Arabidopsis thaliana: one gene and its partner. The protein of the gene in region 1 purifies or fractionates together with the protein of each later gene. This does not show direct contact. Each region holds a gene or a part of one and is shown in the gene's direction. Other genes may lie near its edges.

What was found.
Region 2: the proteins of PGRL1B (region 1) and PSAG fractionate together in Arabidopsis thaliana (co-fractionation; one large-scale study listed by BioGRID). This does not show direct contact.

Annotation. Positions count from the first base shown.
Region 1 is NC_003075.7:7,174,131-7,179,755, reverse strand, and holds PGRL1B (PGR5-like B), read left to right. Parts: upstream 1-1,867; 5' UTR 1,868-2,046; coding exon 2,047-2,212; intron 2,213-2,582; coding exon of another isoform or gene 2,583-2,628; intron 2,629-2,710; coding exon 2,711-2,823; intron 2,824-2,910; coding exon 2,911-3,007; intron 3,008-3,095; coding exon 3,096-3,196; intron 3,197-3,300; coding exon 3,301-3,357; intron 3,358-3,483; coding exon 3,484-3,560; intron 3,561-3,661; coding exon 3,662-3,713; intron 3,714-3,819; coding exon 3,820-3,930; intron 3,931-4,163; coding exon 4,164-4,261; intron 4,262-4,346; coding exon 4,347-4,416; 3' UTR 4,417-4,430; intron 4,431-4,518; 3' UTR 4,519-4,870; downstream 4,871-5,625. Other genes in the region: AT4G11950 (transmembrane protein, putative (DUF1191)), read left to right, coding at 5,497-5,625. UniProt on the Arabidopsis thaliana protein: Ferredoxin-plastoquinone reductase involved in cyclic electron flow (CEF) around photosystem I. The homodimer is probably not involved in CEF.
Region 2 is NC_003070.9:20,802,067-20,805,293, reverse strand, and holds PSAG (photosystem I subunit G), read left to right. Parts: upstream 1-1,844; 5' UTR 1,845-1,912; coding exon of another isoform or gene 1,913-1,937; coding exon 1,938-2,420; 3' UTR 2,421-2,624; downstream 2,625-3,227. Other genes in the region: AT1G55680 (Transducin/WD40 repeat-like superfamily protein), read left to right, coding at 1-306; AT1G55675 (uncharacterized protein), read left to right, coding at 1,114-1,440; AT1G55673 (uncharacterized protein), read right to left, coding at 1,913-2,323; AT1G55660 (FBD, F-box and Leucine Rich Repeat domains containing protein), read right to left, coding at 2,954-3,227. UniProt on the Arabidopsis thaliana protein: Not yet known.

The DNA of each region.
Region 1 (5,625 bases):
TCCATTTAAAGTAAAAAAAAAATGTTAGTCTATTCTGACAAACTATTAATGTTAGTAGATGAATAATCATGCTATGCATGAGTTGTTGTTTTGAAAATTGTTAAAAATATGTTGTATGTTCTTTGTTGCTAGTTTGTGTAGTTACATAAATATTTAGATTCATCTTATATAGTTACAATTTTTATGCTTTGATTCATCTTTTGACGTAAAATATCAAGTATATATTTTTCATGTGTAATATAATTATCTATATACATAAGATCTTAATCTTTTTTTTGCTATCATAAATACATAGAATAACAATATAAGATATATTGATATAATAGTTGTAATTATAATTGAGTTATACATTAGCATGATTTTGTATTTTTCAATTTTTTTGAAGAAATAAGTTAATAGTATTGATGGAAGATTTAATGATGTGGAGGACTTTTGATTTTCTTAACTTAATTTTGCTAAAATTTTTATTGAATAATATAAAAACACATGTAATTTTCTTGTATGATAATGTGACATTCATATGGAGAGAGTTAACCAACTTTCATATATATATTTTTTTCGATTCAAAGTAATTCTATGACATAAATTTTGTGAATTATTTGTGCATTATAAACTTAAAAATTTATTTGGTTATTTACATGGGACACCCGTGTATCGAAAAGTAGAGAGAAGATTGAACAAAAAAGCTAACAAACTTTATTTATCTCAACAAAATATTGTTACAAGCGTTAGTTAGAACTGTGTATCATTAAGCTTATATATATTTGAACTTAAGCTCACTTAATCAAAGTTAACCAAATATTAAACCAACATTAAACCAGCGAACCATACATCATAATACGCCTCTCTCAAGTCTTTATCTTCGAAGTGTCTGGTTTCCGAAGATAAAAACATCTTCTTGAGTAAATGATGAAATGACCCCGGATGTAGTGGCTTTGTGAAGTACAACTATCCACAATTTTCATTTATAATATCTAATGAGAGCATATCCGACAATGTTATAAACATTTTCTATCGATTTGTTAGTGGTTTACAAACCACCAATGACAATTTATTTCATGATAGATTCATTGTGTTTTAACTTATGGACAACCAGCATCACAATGATTGTTTTTGTCTATGGTTTGAGTCACAAGTCCGATTCATAATTGTTTGTAAATAAATATTTTTTTGTTGACTAATAAATATTATATTACAACTTTTTCTTGCAAATTACTAAAACTCAAGATTCTTTTTCATTTTTTCAAACATATATATATATATATATATATATATATATATATATTACAACAAAATTCTCTTATAAATTATTAAAATTCAAATTTTTTTATCGCAATTAGTTCCTTAAGAGAACTTATAAATAAATTAAGTCTTACATACAAAATATGTTTTCAAAAGAGTACAATGTGTTTGTTGGTTTTGCTTTCGTGCAATATCATGAAATATGTTTATGGTTTCTTAATTATTTATACCAATAGGTGATTCACCACATGATGATGCATATGTACAATTTATCTATTATAATGAGTTTACTATCTTGACTCCCACAAATCAAAACCCTTATTTTTCTTTACCGTTGTCCGTTGAGATGATAAAATAATAAACTAAAAATGATTGTACATATTTTTGTTATGATTTGAGTTAGAGTTTTTTTTTTTCGTTTATTTCAATTCTACGTAAAAAAAATTATATAAAGAATTCATTTTATTTGTGACTAATAATATCTAAATATTATAATACAATATTTGTTTTTGGTAATTTACCAAAATTCAAGATTTTATTCTTATTTTTTTCAAAATCATGACGTGGAACGCTAGACGATCCAACTTCGCTTATCTCCTCCTAATTTTCCCTCCAATTACACGTTGAAACAAAACAAAACAAAAAAATCAGAAGGAACCTGAAACTATCTCACACAGTAAAAAACATCACCATCTCAATTCTCAACCACACAAATCCAAAGCTTCTAACTTTTTTTTTTGTTCTTCGTCCCGGACAAGAGAAAACAACGATCTCACTCAATCATCGGCGTGAGGGATAAAGACGATGGCTTTTACTCTAACAATCCCTAGATTTTCTGCAATTTCTCGCAAACCCATCACTTGTTCTTCTTCGAGGACACAGTGTCCTGCTCCCTTTACCCATGGACGATCGATTTCTCTCAGACGAAGACTTACCTTATTGCCCCTTAAAGCTTCTACTGATCAATCAGGTCTCGATTTTTATTTGCCTCTTTAAAGTTTCGATTTTTTTATTTGTTTTTGCCTCTGATCTTTCTTTGGGAACGAAATTGGTGTGAAAAGTTGAGATTTTTATGATCATAGAAGATAATTAGATAAATGATTTCCAATTTGTAGCCTTTTTAGGATTAAAATTTGTGTGTAGCTTAAGGTTCTTAAGTTATTAACTCATCGTTATGTGATCGAAACAAAAAAGCACTCAATCTTCAAATTTAGTTGAGAAAAGCTGTTGTATTGTAGCTTTGATTTTGTCTCTGATCATTGTTTGGGAACACAGTGGCTTTTGAGAAAGTTTTGATTTTATTCAATCATAGAATAAAATCACTCAAGCTTTAATTCTAGTTAAGAAAAGTTGTTATATGGAACTTTTTTCCTCTGTGGATTTTTAGTTTTTATACTCTAATCCACTAAAAGATTGCTCCTTGAGAGTTTCCTTACTTCTTAAAATCATTTTTATGACTTGTCTTCAGGTCAGGTGGGTGGGGAAGAAGTTGATAGCAAGATTTTACCTTATTGTAGCATCAACAAGAATGAGAAGAGAACTATCGGTGAAATGGAACAAGAGTTCCTCCAAGCGATGCAAGTAACACATCAAATAAAGTGTTTTTATCATTAGTATGGGTTTATCTCTATATAATCGAGGATTGTTTCTGTTTCTTTTCTTTTGCAGTCGTTTTATTACGAAGGCAAAGCGATTATGTCTAATGAAGAGTTTGATAACCTTAAAGAAGAGTTGATGTGGGAAGGAAGCAGTGTTGTCATGCTAAGTAATGAACACTTATGATTTATAGTTTTGTCAATAATCCATTCGCCTAGGTTCTTGATTCTTGATCTAATTTTATCTATGTATTGTAGGTTCTGATGAACAAAGATTCCTTGAAGCTTCAATGGCTTATGTCTCTGGAAATCCAATCTTGAGTGATGAAGAGTATGATAAGCTCAAAATGAAACTAAAGGTTCTTAATCTATTTATACTTACAAATACTATTTCTTAGTTTCATCCATCTTGTTACATGTGTAATTTGGACAAACGTTATGATTGTTTCTTTGGTTTCTGTAGATGGACGGCAGTGAGATTGTGTGTGAGGGTCCAAGATGCAGTCTTCGTAGTAAAAAGGTAAAAACTCTTAATTGTTCGGATAGCTCATATATTCTTTGGACATTACAGAACATAACATTAGATTCATTGTTTGGGACAAACTCTAGAGATGTTATAGACTTGTGGACCTCCTTGATTATGCAGGTTTATAGTGATCTTGCCATTGATTACTTCAAAATGTTCTTGTTGAATGTACCAGCAACTGTTGTTGCTCTCGGACTGTGAGTACCTCCGGTTCTGTTCCTCTCTCAACTTTCAAATCACATGATCTTAGCTTATGTTAGTTAGTTTAAAATTGTTGTTTTCTTCAATTGTTCTCCAGATTTTTCTTTCTTGATGACATTACTGGTTTTGAAATCACGTACCTGCTCGAGGTAAAACCTCTTTCGACTATTCTACTATGGTTTGGAGAATATATACTCGTAGTAATTGTTCCAGTATTCATGCAACTGATTAAAAAACAAAAACAAAAATCTGCAGCTTCCGGAACCATTCAGTTTCATTTTCACATGGTTCGCTGCGGTGCCTGCAATTGTATATCTGGCGTTATCACTCACCAAACTGATCCTCAAAGACTTCTTGATCTTGAAGGTAAAAACATTAATCATCTTCCAAGATCAGTTCATGAAGTGGAAAAATAAAAGTTATAGAACTAAATCTTGTTTTCTCAGTATCAAAAATGCTTAAACAAGAGATTAGACTTGAGATAATAATCTATTTTGTGCTAAACGCTACAAATTTGGATTGGTATAGTGCCAAATCCTACGAGTTTTATGCGATTATTATGAAATGCTTTTAATTTTCGTGGAACATATCTTTCACAGGGCCCTTGCCCAAACTGTGGAACAGAGAATGTATCTTTCTTTGGAACGATACTATCCATCCCCAATGATAGTAACACCAACAATGTCAAATGCTCAGGGTAAGCTTCTCAGCTGTAGACTCGAATCGATCACACAAATTGTCTACAACGTTTCTTGAAGTCTTATGATTCTTCTGGTTTTTAGCTGTGGAACGGAGATGGTCTATGACTCAGGTTCTCGTTTGATCACATTACCAGAAGGAGGGAAAGCTTAAATCTAAGAGCCAAGGTTTAATTCTTATCTCAACTTTGATTTCTGATGAAATCTTTCTTGATTCAATGGAAAATTCAAAATTTTAGGGTTTTCTTTTTCTCAGGGTTATGTAGAAGTGTATGTAAAATTAATACTAACAAATGAAGAAGGTGGAGAAATTGAAGAAGAAGGAGAAAAACCAAAGTTTGTATGCTGTTTTGTATAATCTTCAGATCTTTTCATGTAGCTCTCATTGGCTTGTGTTGTGTTTGTAAGTAAGTGTGAGGCACATTCAAAGAAAAACATCATATGATTACTTCTTTGAGAAACTTTGCTCTCATTAGGAAAGTAAAATAATTCAAGAAATAAGCACAACCTTGTGTAGTTTTGAAATAATACTTGTATTTTTTTTGTTGTTATAATTTTGAATGTGTTCCATAATATAGTTTCGTTAATCCATGTGAAAATCAAATATGATGTTCTAAATCATTTATAGGTGCTAGTCAAGGCCAGTCCAAGACTTTTTGACTTTTGTGATTCTATAGTTCATTTTAGTATGATTTCTATTAAGAAGCTGATAGATAGATAAAAGTGGGGAACATGTAATAAGAGTTAAGGATTATTACAAAGGAAAAAGTCATACAAATATTATAGCATGCCAAATTCTATCTTTTTAATAAGAAAAAGGTGCAATGATGATGATGACATCGTCGTCGTCCCATGCCCTCTATATCATCATTTACCTTCCTTTTTTTTCTCACCGTTTAGACATTTCTAAATGTATCATTTTAGGATCGAAAGAATATAAGCAATTTACAAGACTACAAAGTGTGTATAAAGTAAAATGTCACGAGGCTAGAAGAAAGTAGGATAGTATTCTAAGCATTATAAAACATCGGTCATGCTTATTCATTATTATGTCTTAAGGATTAATAAAAGATACATAGTATATACTATATACTGATCATGTCTGTCCCCAAAACACATGCCAACAAAGTAAAACACAATCAATATACTTCTCTCTCTCTTTCTTCTTGATCACTTCTCTCTGCAAAACCTAACTACTTCTTCATTCATCTTAGAATCATTGGGTCCTCTTCACATGGGCTCTATACCATTTATCTTCATCATCCTTCTTTTTCATGTACATAAATCCAAATCTCAGACCATTGAATCAGCACATTTTCTTGATCTTATGATCAGAGATTACACCATTAGAAACTTCAACATA
Region 2 (3,227 bases), on another chromosome or scaffold:
GACATTCGTAACCTGTCAAAATCTGTTGCTGTCTTGAGGGGTAACCTTGGAGCAATCCGATCCATTCGCTACACATCTGATGGGAAGTACATGGCCATGGCTGAGCCGGCTGACTTTGTCCATGTGTATGATGTCTCAAACGGGTATGAAACGGAGCAAGAGATCGACTTCTTTGGGGAGATCTCGGGAATATCATTTAGCCCCGACACAGAAGCACTCTTCATAGGCGTTTGGGACCGCACTTACGGAAGTCTAATTGAGTATAGCCGGCGCCACAACTACTCCTACCTTGATTCATTTCTATGATCACCCGACATACCAGAGGAATAAAAGAGCCGATACATATGTGCTGCTGCACTCTCCTGTCGCTCTGTTAAACTAAGAAACCCGAGAAAAGAGAAAACATAAACTCAAGTCGATCTCTAATGGTGTAAATGATGTGTTGTGCAAGTACTAGTAGGAATGTTGTCACAGAGAGCGGATTTAGTTAGTTAATGTTCATTTCTTGTATGAGTGTTGGAGTTCGTGTATTGTACATAAGTATATGAGGTTCGGGTGAGTTTGCATCAAGTCTCAACTCTTGGCAAAGAGACAACTTTACTCGAGTCTGTGGCTCGTTATTTGGCTATGGTCACTTGTAGAGGAACTCAATTTGAGATGTTTCTGCCGATTGTTGGATCAAATTATATATCATGATGTTTCATAATATTTCTGTTTCCTAGACTATTAAAGTGTATCAATGGTAAGTTTCTCTCTCTCTTCTCTCTTTAATATCTTTTAGAGAAAGCTAAACTTTCCGATCAAACCTTTGCCTTCTGGTTTGATTCGAAGGCTCATGTTCCTCACATAGTGGGCTCGTGTCTGGCATCTCTGACTACTTTAGCGGAGTTGGCTAGCTTTCTTCTGACAGCGATGGCTTCCTTAGCGTCGTCTTGGTCGGCACCACTCCGGAAGCAGTAGCTTACATAGTATCGTCTTGACCGGATTTCGGGTTTGTCTCCGCCGTTGTTATGTTTTTCTTCCAGTTGTTTATTTACTTACAATAAATTTTATTAGGGATGTGTTGATAATATCGATTGAAGCGAATTATCGCTTAATGAAGTGTATTATTCGATGCTTTTACTTTTGAGTTTGCAATTACAGGAATTGATTCATAGCTTTTCAATGAATTATGGACTCTTATTGGCTTTGATCAATTTTTGTAAAATCTGTGCCGCTGTGTTTTTGGAATTCGGGAATCAATTGTCTTTTGGAAGATCCTTTCTTTGCAAATTTGATGATGATGTTTGTTGGGATTCTCTAATTAAAAACCGATGGACTTCTGTGTTTAAAGTTCTAGCTGTTTCCGGTGGCTTTGGAGTTTTCCGGTTGTTGCTGAACAGATCGGCGATGAACGGTGACGAAGAATCATCTATCCACGTCTTCAACTTTATTTGTTAGCATTCCACGTGGCTTTGCAGTCGGGAATTATTTAGCTTACTTCCTTAAAGGATTATGTTTCTCGATTGGGCTTTTCTCGTTGGGCCTATGGTTATAAGTTTGTTGGTTTTAGTTTCATATGTATCAAGACCTGTAATATTGAGTTTTTACAACACAAGTTATAAATAAAATACAAACACTTTATGAGAAAAAAGACTATTAAAGTGTAGATTATGGACTAAATCTTTTAAAAAAAAGATAGTAGGTTCTTCAAAGTGTATCCTACTAAATTACAAGGGTTTGAACGCAAATATTTCTTTGAAAATCTCATAATCCAGAAAGAACCAACGAGAGAATGCCACATCATCCATCCGTAATCGTATCCTCACAAACAAAATCTTCTTCTGCTTCTTCTCCTGCTTGCCAGAATCCAAAACCAAACCTTCAGATCATAAATCCAAAACCACTCATTTTTCTATTACTGAAATTTTTCTTAGAGAAGAAGAAGAAGAAGCAAAATGGCCACAAGCGCATCAGCTTTGCTCTCACCAACCACATTCTCCACTGCAATCTCCCACAAAAACCCTAACTCCATCTCATTCCATGGCCTTCGTCCCCTCCGTCTAGGTGGCTCCTCCTCCGCCCTACCCAAACTATCAACCACCGGGAGAAAATCCTCCTCCGCTGTCGTGAGAGCTGAGCTAAGCCCTTCCATCGTCATAAGTCTCAGCACAGGTCTCTCCCTCTTCCTCGGCCGTTTCGTCTTCTTCAACTTCCAGAGAGAGAACGTAGCAAAACAGGGCTTACCGGAGCAGAACGGAAAAACCCATTTCGAAGCTGGAGATGATCGTGCTAAGGAGTACGTCAGTCTCTTGAAATCGAACGATCCAATTGGATTCAACATTGTTGATGTTCTTGCTTGGGGTTCTATTGGACACATCGTTGCTTACTACATCTTGGCTACTTCCAGCAATGGATACGACCCAAGCTTCTTTGGATGATTCGTTTCAATGTCAATCTCTCGTATATGTATATGTATATGTTTGACTTGTGTTGCAAGCTATCTAATCTGTTCTCTATCTCTGTTTCTTCTTCTGTTGTTGTTGTTGTTGTCTAAGACTTGTCCCTCTTTTTGCAAATGTTTTATTTCTCCATTTACAAAGATTGGTTTGCAGAGTTTTATAAGAAGAACATAATAGTATATACACTATGGAAACAGAGAGATGAAATCACATTTTTACTTGCGCTCAAGATTTCGATTTAGTTTGAGCTAATGTTCGTATGAAAAACTTAGGTGATTTGGTGAAGCTAGTTTCATACCTAAGAGAGAGTCTAGATGTAAGATCTCAGAAAGATAAAGCCAATGTCTCAACAAAAACAGTATGCTCAAAGATAAAGTATACAAAAAGAAAACCAAAAACAAAGACATAAACCTTAAGTTTAGATCAAGTTACGGCTGCAAATAAAAAACCATTGTAATAAAGGAGGGTAGTGTCTATGGAAATGAAAGTTTGAATCCTTATGATTCACATCCTCAATGGAAGAAGACTTGGCATGTTTCTGGACCTTGAAAAGAAAGTGACAACTCCTCGATCATCTCATCTCTTGTTTCTTGAGCATATGTTGTCGGAAAAAAGATTGTCGCAGACTTTAAGCAGCGAGCATTTTTCAAGATATATTTAGCTACATCCATCTGGTTCTGCAGCAATCCATGCATCTCACTCCAACGGAACGTTTCGAGACTGGACAACAAACATGTAGGAACACAATTCAGCTGATTGTCCCACTGATTTGGTAGATCCGTACGC